Kluyveromyces lactis: one gene and its partners. The protein of the gene in region 4 purifies or fractionates together with the protein of the main gene of each other region. This does not show direct contact. Links are inferred from orthologs where the notes say so. Each region holds a gene or a part of one and is shown on either strand. Other genes may lie near its edges.

Region 1 (3,052 bases), on a different chromosome or scaffold from region 4:
TCTTTCTACCTCTCTTTCTTGGATAGCAAATACCTTTTTTCAAAGGGATTCGCTCAGCTTAATTTACTTACTTTTTATTTTACCTTCATGATTAAGATTCAAATTATCACAGATTCTAAACCCGGAGCATCGATATATTTAACTTCACCTCTCTGAGAAGCATAGCTTTATTTATATATTCATATAGATGCATGTGTGCTGTCTCTTTATGTACATTACAATCGTTAATAGATTTTAACAAAGAAATACAAGTAACATTTCTCCTCTTTCATCGAAGAAAAGATCTAATCTCTGAGTCATCGTCCGCCTTCGCCAAGAATTCTCGTAATGAATCCAAATCTGCGATCGATATCACTTTCAGATGCATAATTTCAACGACTTTATCGTACTTCCTATAACAACATCTCATATCTAAGATATCGCCCTTATGTGGTCTTTCACCTGATTTGGTATTGATGAACGCTTCGTCATAGATTGTCTCATCAATCAAGAAATAATATGATCTTTCTCTATTCGTTTCTGCATTGAAATCTGGAACGTTGCTAAAATGAAGATAAATCCCATCGGTTCTTTCATGTGAATGAGAAATGTCCTGAAATTGTGCGAAGATTCGAAGTCTTAACAACGTATCTCCTGCGTACTCCTCGATCTTTCCGGCAATTGTATCAAGATCCGTAATAATTTTGCTCATACTCTTCCTGTCATAAGATATATGCAGACATACCGGTAGTCAAGGGGAAGTGGCTCACTCATGTGTTCTCAATTTAAGTATTGCCCAGTTTATTAAAGTCTGGAAGATCTATCTAAAATGACTTTTGGAAAACTTTAAAAAAGGATAAATACAAAGAAATACTGATAACAACGGACTCTCTACCTGAGCTCATCACGGCTCAAAAGATTCTCAATATTTGTCCCTCACTAAGTGGTCATGTTGATTGGTTTACAGACACCAGCTTTCTTGTCGCGCTGTTTCCTCGACCCATTTCAAAATAGGCATAATTTATCCAATGTGTTTACGGTTTTAAACAGCTAGAGCCTTTCTCTTCATTCTCATTTTCCATATAAGTAGTAACAAAAAAAAAAAAAATTGTACATAACGGATTATTAACAATAGAAAGATTTTGGAAGAAAAGGGCGTAAAGACTGAGCAAATTTGTACATTAATAGACGTCCGTCACCCTATATTTGTTGCTAAACATATTCTAATGCATTCTGTGGATCATAGAAATAGTCATCAGGTACTTTTCATGGATGAAGATGATGTAGATAGCATTTCCAGATCAAACCACACGATATCATATTACCAAGTGGCAACTCCAAAATCACCACATGAACTCTCTTCTATAGCGGATAATGAGGATAATGACTCTATACACTCGTCACACCCACATGAAGATGCTGAAAGGTTAAAGTTTATGTCCACAAGAAGAGAAATACTGGACCAACTAAACTTGCAGATCATGTTGACACATAAAGAAATGGAGCATATAATAGAAGAGAATGATAAGGTATCCGGGCAGTTGGAAGTGTTAAAGATAATGCATGATGACCCTGAACTAACGGATAAGATCTCAAAGTACCAAGAGACGAGAACTAAAGAGGTGGAGGAAAGCATCAAGGCGGGATGCTCAAATGTGGAAACCCGCGAGGGAATCTATTACTACCATACAAGAAGTAAAGGCGGATCGAAAGTTAGTGGGCTACGGCTTGCTAATGAAAACGTTATTGACATTCGTATGCGTGGCATAAAGACTGTTCCTCAACAAACTTCAGCCACTGAGGTACAGAAATCAGAGGCAATAATTTCGAAGATGCCTCACCATAATCACCAACGAAACTTCAGTAGCACATGCGCTACTAGCAACAGTGGTATGATCGGAACCACTGACTTGGGTCAGCCTATATTCAGAAGACCTGATGGAATACTCATAATAATTACATGCTCTCAATGTGGAAGGGAAGGTTTCACATCTGCGCAAGGTATTGTCAATCATATGAGGCTAAAACATTTTCTCCACTATCAGTCACAACCCTTAGCGGTGCTCAGTAACCAGGTTATACTTCCGGATGAAAAGCAGGATCCAGAGATCCTAGCGAAGTTCAAAGAGTTAAAGAAAACTCCAAAGGATAGCTATTTGGCTTCGCCGATACCCTTACAACATAATGACAAAAAAATTACGAAAGACACGCCGAAGGCAACCTCGGTAGCTGAAGAATCCGCCCTAACGAAATCAACGACCCATCTTCAGAAAATGTATGGCAAGGACGATTTCAAGGATATAATCAACTACGTCAAGGACGCAAAGAATGATCTTGAAACGATAATGAAATATGAGGATGAGGAGGGTTTAGGAACCGCTTCAGAAGAAGAAGCAAAACCGAAACCTAGAAAAAGGAGTATGCTCAATGAACGGAATAAGCCTGCCGAAAAGAAAGCAAGACCAGATGTCATACATGTCACCGAGAATCACATTCCTGAGGAAGAAAAACGTTCTAGACATTATAATCTTCGTGCTAAGTCAAAGCTTAGGTCTTTCAATCGTGATGACTGAACGAAATTCAATATTTAAGGAACGAAAACACTATGTAACCATATAAATTAAAGAACTTTAATTGACTCCAGCGGATTGCGTTGCCAGCAATGTTTAATGCAATCACTTAGGTCGAATGTTTTATCTATTCAGTCATCCGTAACTTAAAAAGTTTTCCCCTATTGTCATGCAAAAAGATAATATTTTGAAAAATAAACTAGAATGAAATAGTACCTTGACGCTGGCCTACAATCCGTACAGGATTGTGGTAAAGTGCTTGTTATAAAGGAAAATATATGGGGAAGCTTGATGAAGGTGCGGGCTATGTGGAAAGAAAATAGGCGCTATTTCTCATCTAGGTGGTTTTATGCAATTGACATTCCTAAAACCAAACCTTTTGAATCAGAGTATGTACCAAAAACGGCACCTTTAAAATTTCAACCGTTCTCCAAGGTCGACTCCAAACGGATTGAGGACCTCTATACCCAGAAGAATTTCAGTAGGAAACTTGATGTTAATGA
Region 2 (1,920 bases), on a different chromosome or scaffold from region 4:
AAGGATTTGTTTGAAAACATCGCCAAGGGTAATTACCCATCTTGGACCCTTTACATTCAAACTATGACCGAAGAAGAGGCAGAAAAATTGCCATTCTCTGTATTCGATCTAACAAAAGTTTGGCCTCATAAGCAGTTCCCATTGCGTCGTGTAGGTAAGATGGTTTTGAATGAAAATCCAGAAAATTACTTCGCTCAAGTGGAACAGGCTGCATTCTCCCCATCGCACACCGTCCCATACCAAGAAGCTTCTGCTGACCCTGTCTTACAAGCACGTTTGTTCTCTTATCCAGATGCCCATCGTTACAGATTAGGCCCTAACTATTCTCAAATCCCTGTTAATTGTCCATATGCATCGAAGGTTTTCAACCCAGCTATCAGAGATGGCCCAATGAACGTTAACGGCAATTTGGGCAAAGAGCCAAACTATTTGTCTACTTCTAAGAAGTACCAATTCATTCAACAATCAAAGCCAATTCAACAACATCAAGAAGTATGGTCTGGGCCTGCAATGCCTGTACATTGGGCAACCTCACCAGGAGACATCGATTTCGTTCAAGCCAGAGACTTGTATAACAAAGTGTTGAGCAAACAGCCAGGTCAACAAAAGGCATTGGCCCACAATGTCGCAGTACACGTAGCAAGTGCATGCCCTGAAATCCAAGACCGTGTATTTGCCATGTTTGCAAGAGTCGACCGTGGTCTATCTGAAAACATCAAAAAGGAAGCTCTGAGCTTATCCCCAAGAAAGGCTGCTGCATTGAATGCAAAGTTATAGAGAGAATTAGCTGTGCTTTCTTTCTCTCTCTCTATCTCTTTCCGCTTTGTATGTACGTTTTATTTATCCCCATATTTATTACAAGTATACTATTAATATCTGTCCGTAATGAGATGCATGGTATCAGGCATTGTAGCCGCTAACATGTCGACTGTTGTCTCTTGTATTCTGCTTGTATTCCCTGTGCTTATCGTCAATTTTCTGCAATATCCAATTTTAATAGAAAAGCAAGGTCAAATTAGCTTACTTTGATATTGAAACAATCAATTCTGTTCTACGATCAGACATAAGACAACAGTACTGACTTGACTTATTCAGTATTTGCAACTATCAAGAGGTGGCTGTAACCATGACTGCTTCTTTGACCACAGATTCGGTTGCCGATTCCATATATCAGAACATTCTTACTTCTATCATCCAAGATATCATCTCGCGTCAAACAGTGAAGAGAAAGCTTCTGAAACTGCAATTCCCGGATGCTAAACCGTATTACGCTGACCCGTCAGGAACATTGGATATACACGGTAAGGCAAAGCAAGCAGACTCCGCCGTTTACATCGAATGTAATGTCTGTGGACGGGAAGTTAGTGGGAACAGGTTCGCTGCTCATCTCGTTAGATGCTTATCACGTGGTAGAAGGTGAGATTTCATTACCCAGCCTTAGTGCAGCCTTAAATCTTCCCCCAAACCCATAATGTGTGTCATTTCAAATCAAGTTGTCCAGCATCGTACCCTGTACCCTTAAACCTGTGATAACGATCTTTAACCCATCATTATAACGGTGTAAAGAGTTGTCAGGTGTTACTCTACAGAAGAGCGGAAAGTTAGAGACACTAGAACTAGCAAGTACCCTTCAGAGAATTAAACTGAGTTACTTATGTCGACTTTGCTAGAGACTTTAGATCAACAATGGGTCAATTCCAGATTATACGTTGATAAAGACGAGCGCAGGACCCAGCTTGGGAAATGTGTTGAAGAAGTGCACGACTTTAAGATCCAGTTGAAGAAATTGAAAGCGCATTTGCTGAAGCATGGATCAAGTCCACAGAAACGTCTTGTTATTAGGGAGAAACTAGCGAAATCTCATAAGAACTGGGATTCTTCCATGAAGAAATCCTTAAACTCTTCTATCAGCACTTACCG
Region 3 (3,327 bases), on a different chromosome or scaffold from region 4:
ATGTCGTGATAGGTGAGACGAACTTGGATGAATTACTACTGTTGAAGAGTAAGATAAATCCAGAAATCAGGATAACGACATTCAAGGACGCCTTACAATGGTTAAAAGAACACCCTACAATGAAATTTATGTTGGATATCAAGCCTACAAATGATAAGGTTCTTTTAATCAAGGCGATTCTTGAAATGAGAGCAGTAGTCGATGATTTAGATTTCTGGAGGCAACGTTTGATGTTCGGATTGTGGCAACTTGATTGGTACAAATACGGGGTCACCACGGCCACACTGAAGGGTTTCAAGATCGTGGCCATCTTACCCTTCACAGCGATGGCTACTAAATTTGTCGAATACTCTAAATCCTTGAGCGATGACAACTACAAGTTGCATGGTGTCAGTCTTCATTTCATTAACTCTTGGAAACCCGATTTCAAGAAAACTGTATTACCATACTTGCAAGAAAACAACCTTGCCGTATACCTTTGGACCGTCAATTCCGAAATTGACATCAAATATATCAGTAGTATGACCATTACCGGGATTATCGTTGATGATCCGGTAGCTTCAGTGTCAATTCGAGATGAGTACATTCGGAAAGCAGTGCCGTTTGTACCGCCAATTTTCAATAGCTCTGAAGGTTTTAGACTATACCTTAGACTTCGGGTATTCGAAGTGGCTGAAAGGATCCTTAGCTCAAGATGGGCCACTGTCCCAGTATTCCATGATATCACCTTGTTGAAAGTAACCGTTTTATTGTTAAGAAGAATCCACTTCATTTAAATGTCATTTCATTTCGTAGACAATCTATATAACACACATACCATAGGAAGTTAATATCCTGAAATATGTTATATTTAGCTTGCAATTCGATTATCGACGGACCAATTGGTGTGTGGGGGATTGACACATTCCATTAAGTCATATCACGTGATTGTAAGAACTTTCAAGTTTCCCTTTCTGAAAGTCGACGATTTCGACAGGAATAACATACCGATGGACAGAAACATTTCATAAGATAATACATGAATTCAGATGCTTGAAAGTATTTAGAGCGGGTGATCCAAAGATTTTAAAAGGCTTTTGAGATAGTTCTAACGTGTTATTTACCTGCCACAAAAGTTACTTTTGTACAATCAATATTGAGGGCTCACTTCATACCAGATTCTTTTTTTTTAACGTGCTATTTTTACCATAGTTAGGCACCAATTTGCATTACCACCGATAGACTCTGGTTTATTTTTGAAAGCTAGGTAAGGACAGTTTGATCATTGTTAGCTTGTCTCAATTCATTCATCATTTCCATCGTAATTCTCCCTATCATTTTTTTTTTACCTGGCTGATTTTGGTACAAGAGCATGTCAAGTGTCAATATAGAGATTAAAGGAATCAGATCAGACATTCAATTAGAAGATTTAGGAAGTAGCAAGAACGGTTGGAAGGAGTTACTGTCTATTGTTAAGAATAACGGGAATAGTTCGGATTTATCATCCACGGATATTCGTTCAAAATACTTGAGCAGGCCGTCAGAAGTTTTATCTGGCGTTTCTAAAGAGGATATCCGTTATAGGAATTGTACAGCTTGCCACCAGCCGGTATTGGTGTCAGCTATTATAGATCATTTAGAGAATCACTGTATTGATAAAATGCCTGTGAAAAAGAATGAGACGCAGGATATCATGTCTTCTCCTGCTAAAAGTAAGGGGAGTAATAAGAGATCCTCGTCGATAGATCCTGAGAATTTCGATTCACCTTCAAAGAAACAGAAATCATCCACTCCTTCTGGATCGACTAGAAAACAAAGGAAGATAAAACAGCGAAACCCGACAGAGCCACATCTGGTTAACTTCGATAAACAGTGTGGTGTACCATTACCTGAAGGTGGTGTTTGCGGTAGATCATTAACATGTAAATCGCACTCAATGGGAGCGAAACGTGCAGTGGAGGGACGGTCACAGCCATTTGACATATTATTAGCTGATTATCAGAAACGCAACCAGTTGAAATCTTCGGCGTCCAAGACTAGAATCCAAAAGGCACAGCAAAATCAGCAGGATCCACAAGTTAAACAAAAGGGGAAAGATAAAAACACTGGGAAAACCAGCAGCAATGAAGTGGTCAATGAGTCATTACCCAAATTGTCCCCTGAAGAAGAGACTACTCTGGTTTTGAACGGTGTTTCACGTTCATACCCACTACCGTTAGAAACTACGGTATTGACTTCTACACGATCAAGAACCAAGTACGTCAGAATGAGAGAAATGTTTGGGTCTGCTTTCAGTATAAAACCAGGCTTTAAGAGCCCTGGAGTTGGTGCGTTCCGCTCAAGGGTCGGTCTTATTGACATTGATAGAACGACTGATTATACGTTCCGTATACGTACGCCTCAACCTATTAACGCATCACCTCAAAACTTGACACCAGAACAGCTTCAAATATTACAGGCCCAACGTTTGAAACAACAACAGCAGCAGCAGCAGCAACAACAGCAACAACAACAGCGGCAACGACAATCTAGTGCTACCGGATCGTTATCTCAAATGCAAATGCAAATTCCACAGTCAGTTCAGGCTGGAAAACCTGCAGGGCAACAACCCATGATGACCCAGGGCATCACCCCTCGGGATATTCAAACTCAACAGCTAATAATGCAACAACAGCAACAGAAACTCCTGCAGAAGAAAAGAATGGAAGACGCCAGTGCTCAACTAGATACGGCTTCTAAGTTGATGCAGCAAACAATAGGCTCACCGGTTAATACTCAAAGTCGAAGCAATTCAAATCAACCTGGTGTTCAATTTGGTGTAAATGGATATGGAGGAAGAGTTAATTAGTGTAATATTTAGAAACTTAATAGCTTGTTAACGTCTGTTTTTCATCTCTTAACTTTGAGGGGTATGTGTATATATTTTGCACAAGTCGTTATAATAAATTAAGATTGGCTTCGCTTTTAAGTTGAATAGTTTAGGTAACAGAAAACGATGATCCAGTACACAGTGGCCTTTACACTTCTTAATACAAAATAAGAAATCGCAGCTAGCAATAAATATGGCCAAGAAGCATCGCCTGTTATCAACAGTGTAGCATATTGGACAGTGAACATCAGTAGCCCTGGAGCTAATGTGCTCCATAAACGCGTTCCTCTTGACTTCCAAATAATATGGTCGATGGTATTATCAAAGTTTTTGGACATCGCTTCTCTGGAGAAATAGTACTTAATACGTTTAGGACCGTTAACTTCGAATAAGGAGTGATTCTTTTCAAATATGTCTACGGATTGATCCAACACTTTTGACCATTCATCAGCATCGGATGGTCGTAACCAACCAGTTGC
Region 4 (3,183 bases):
TGCACAATCAGAATTACAAAACGAATGGCATTCATCGCTTACTTTGAAAGAGGCGGAATCGCTGGTGTTAAAGATCTTAAAGCAAGTAATGGAAGAGAAATTAGATGAAAATAATGCACAATTGAGCAGTATCACAAAAGAGGGATTTCAAATCTATTCAGATGAGAAAACTGCTGAAATTATAAAAGAGTTAAAGGAAAAGGAAAAGGAGGAGAAGCCTCCTGGGTCCGAACATTCGGATGTCGAAATGGAGTGATAGATTACACTCCTTGTCTTTCGAAACACGTTATTAATCAACAGAAAATCGATTATAAAATTTCATTATTTCTCTAATCATGGATTGCTTGTATACATACAGGAGCTCCTTCTGAGCCTTTTAATGTTACACTTTCGGTATATGTATATTTATACATATCATATATATATGTGCCAACTTTCGCCATGTAGACTGTTCAGGTACGCAAAGATATCGACAAATTAGTATTTCATTATCGTTAGTATTAATCCACAAGATGTGAATACTCTGGAATCTCTTTGACTTTAGAATTGAAGAATTTTTCTAGACGATTTGCGTACTTGAAATAAGATGTGTTTTCACCGTTGTACGCACGACAATTGTTAAATATTAACCTTGCATCATATATGAAATTTTCCATCTTTTCGTATCTGTTCCCGTTTAGTTTCATTTCCATAGAACTCAAATCCATTGGTTCCTTAATAAATTCGTAATAGTCGGGGACTTCTTCCTTATTGACGGGTTGCAAAAAGGGCCATGCCGCTGCATGATTTTGCAATTCGGTGAGAAGATTTTGCATTGCTGCATAATGAGGGCCACGTTTTGGTCTCTGCGCCAGTTCGTCCATTTCTGGAGTCCAGCCAGCTTCTTTTAAACCAGGTATTGTCATTGGATCGATGGGTTTTATATTATCAAGATCCAAGAACTGTTTCAAACCTGGACGAACTATGTGAGATTGAGAAATGCTACGAATTTTCCTTCTAATTGCTGCTTCTTGCAATAAGAGGATTTTTGCTGCATCAAGATACCGGATTCTTGGCAGCATGGAACATTGCATTAAGGTACCACCTTCATAATCCTTTATGTATCCCATCCAGACATTCTTGTCCAATGTGATCTCTTTCGTGAATCCCTGCTTCTTGAAATACCCGATAGCATAATTATCCGCATATGTTAGAAAATACTTTATTGGCGATGTTGCCCTCACGTAATCTTTTAAATGATTCATTAAATGTGCACCGTAACCTCTGACTTGTTCGGTCGAACTAATAGCACAGAAGACAATTTCTGCGAACTCTCTTTTATCAAAAGGTCTATAGGTTATTCCACCAACAACAGTCAACGGTTTCCGTACCACGGCCATAGAAAGATGTGAACGATCGTAAACTAAACGAGCAATATATTCTTTGGGCATCTTAGGCAATTGCTTTTGAAAGATATTCTTTAACCCTGTTAAAACCATCATATTTTCCTTGCTATTATCATTATTAACCACTCTGAATTCAATCTTTCCTTCCTTCTCTTCTATTACACTAGGTCTGTCTTTATAACTGTATTCTTGACCATCAAAGTCAAATTTTGTTGTGCCGGCCTCTTCATCAACGACCTCATTTTCAACTATAGGAGATGTATCCGTCTTTTCATTTGCTTCTTCCTCTAATTGTTTCTCTTCAGCCTTGGTAGTTGTACTACTGGCATTGTAGTCATTGACTGGTGATTCAACGACCTCTTCATTCGTTGTAACTGATTCGATTTTGTCTTCCACTGTTTTTACGGATTCCCCCGCAACTTTTGTTTCAGAAGTTCCGTTCTGTGCATCTATAGGTCCGTCCTCTTCCTTCTGGTCTTCCTTCTGGTCTTCCTTGCTCGTCTTGTGTTCTAAATCATCGGTAACATCTTCATCAACTGCAGATCCGCCATCGATTTCAGTTTCCACAGGCTCATCTTTGGGTTTGATTTCCTCTTTTACAGTGTCAACTTTTCCCCTCTTATTCTGGACTCTTCCAGCACCATGGTGGCGTCTCTTCGGTGGCATTTGGTGCTTAGCTTCTTGTCTACGTGTGACTATTTATCTTGTCTACGTGTGACTATTTATCCTGTCTACTCGACCTAATATATATTCCCGTTCTTGTATGCTTTGGTAATTTTTCAAGTTGATTTATACATCCGTACACCACAGTCGGATAACGAGTTTAGTCTACATCTAAAACATGCCTGGTATAAGCTGATGGATCACGGAAAAAGGCCCAGTTATGTAGGTGTACCAAGCCCGTCATGGCGTAATACGCTGCAAATTGTGCAAGACTTATATTTATCTTGGGAATTATAAAACTAAATTTCATCCTGACCGTTAAATCAGAGATAAACACCTTTTCCTAACGACGAATATCGATTTCTACGCTTCATCACAAAAGGAATGCATGTCACATCATTCCACGCATCAGCCTGTCAGATGCACTGGCTATACTTCACTCTATTGACAATTCCTCGTCGTCATCAAAGGAAATATCTTCTTGAATTGCCAATTCAGCCTCCTCTTGCACCTTCGACAGTCCACTTAATTGCTCCACACACTTATAATCATCTAGCGCCTGTTTCACGAAATTCCATCCGTTTTCCTTTAGAGTTAAAATGACATTTTCATTGCTTGCACAACAGTGCTGATATGCCGGTGTTTCAAGTTTTACAGTTTTAAATTCATTTAGAAATCCTCGTATTTGATGCGGAGCTGACCCAAGCACGTTCGTCGAAGGCTGAAGATATGTCACCAATAATTCAACAGCCTGGGAAGCCGCTAATAGGGCAACACCCGGTCTAGTTACAGTACACATCTGATCTAATGTTCTGTCAGTTAGAGAATCACTTGGGGCCACGATATCGTTACAGAAATAGCAACCCAGGTTGTCATTATTGTTGCCATGTCTCATTACCAAATAACTGTCAAAACCAAGGGCCGCATTAATAACTATTTTTTCATGCATTCGTCCAAGCACCGAGGGAAGCCATCTCGTCTCGCGTGCATCCATTAAAAGAAATATAACATCATGCGTCCTTATAAGCTCGTCCAAAATTTCATAATCCTTCCTCTGCTTGCTTTCGTTCGATACAGGATGTCCTATCATTGGTATTTCCAATTGATAACCTGCAGAAACGACAGAAGGAAATAT

The links. The genes of interacting proteins can lie anywhere in the genome.
Region 1: the proteins of GCN5 (region 4) and AHC1 purify together in Saccharomyces cerevisiae (affinity purification with mass spectrometry; 5 studies listed by BioGRID, with this or other methods). This does not show direct contact. The link is inferred for Kluyveromyces lactis from reciprocal best matches to the Saccharomyces cerevisiae genes GCN5 and AHC1.
Region 2: the proteins of GCN5 (region 4) and SGF11 purify together in Saccharomyces cerevisiae (affinity purification with mass spectrometry; 8 studies listed by BioGRID, with this or other methods). This does not show direct contact. The link is inferred for Kluyveromyces lactis from reciprocal best matches to the Saccharomyces cerevisiae genes GCN5 and SGF11.
Region 3: the proteins of GCN5 (region 4) and SGF73 purify together in Saccharomyces cerevisiae (affinity purification with mass spectrometry; 13 studies listed by BioGRID, with this or other methods). This does not show direct contact. The link is inferred for Kluyveromyces lactis from reciprocal best matches to the Saccharomyces cerevisiae genes GCN5 and SGF73.

Annotation. Positions count from the first base shown.
Region 1 is NC_006041.1:833,865-836,916, reverse strand, and holds AHC1 (Ahc1p), read left to right. Parts: upstream 1-1,205; coding exon 1,206-2,552; downstream 2,553-3,052. Other genes in the region: KLLA0_E09417g (uncharacterized protein), read right to left, coding at 269-691; DDL1 (putative carboxylic ester hydrolase), read left to right, coding at 2,841-3,052.
Region 2 is NC_006040.1:997,544-999,463, forward strand, and holds SGF11 (SAGA histone acetyltransferase complex subunit SGF11), read left to right. Parts: upstream 1-1,126; coding exon 1,127-1,420; downstream 1,421-1,920. Other genes in the region: CTA1 (catalase A), read left to right, coding at 1-777; ubiquitin-protein ligase RMD5, read left to right, coding at 1,655-1,920. UniProt on the Saccharomyces cerevisiae protein: Component of the transcription coactivator SAGA complex. SAGA acts as a general cofactor required for essentially all RNA polymerase II transcription. At the promoters, SAGA is required for transcription pre-initiation complex (PIC) recruitment.
Region 3 is NC_006038.1:214,243-217,569, reverse strand, and holds SGF73 (deubiquitination module subunit SGF73), read left to right. Parts: upstream 1-1,351; coding exon 1,352-2,827; downstream 2,828-3,327. Other genes in the region: PGC1 (phosphatidylglycerol phospholipase), read left to right, coding at 1-776; ALG2 (GDP-Man:Man(1)GlcNAc(2)-PP-dolichol alpha-1,3-mannosyltransferase), read right to left, coding at 2,944-3,327. UniProt on the Saccharomyces cerevisiae protein: Component of the transcription coactivator SAGA complex. SAGA acts as a general cofactor required for essentially all RNA polymerase II transcription. At the promoters, SAGA is required for transcription pre-initiation complex (PIC) recruitment.
Region 4 is NC_006037.1:454,956-458,138, forward strand, and holds GCN5 (histone acetyltransferase GCN5), read right to left. Parts: upstream 2,052-3,183; coding exon 501-2,051; downstream 1-500. Other genes in the region: PUP2 (proteasome core particle subunit alpha 5), read left to right, coding at 1-256; ATG7 (Atg7p), read right to left, coding at 2,485-3,183. UniProt on the Saccharomyces cerevisiae protein: Histone acetyltransferase that acetylates histone H2B to form H2BK11ac and H2BK16ac, histone H3 to form H3K9ac, H3K14ac, H3K18ac, H3K23ac, H3K27ac and H3K36ac, with a lower preference histone H4 to form H4K8ac and H4K16ac, and contributes to H2A.Z acetylation.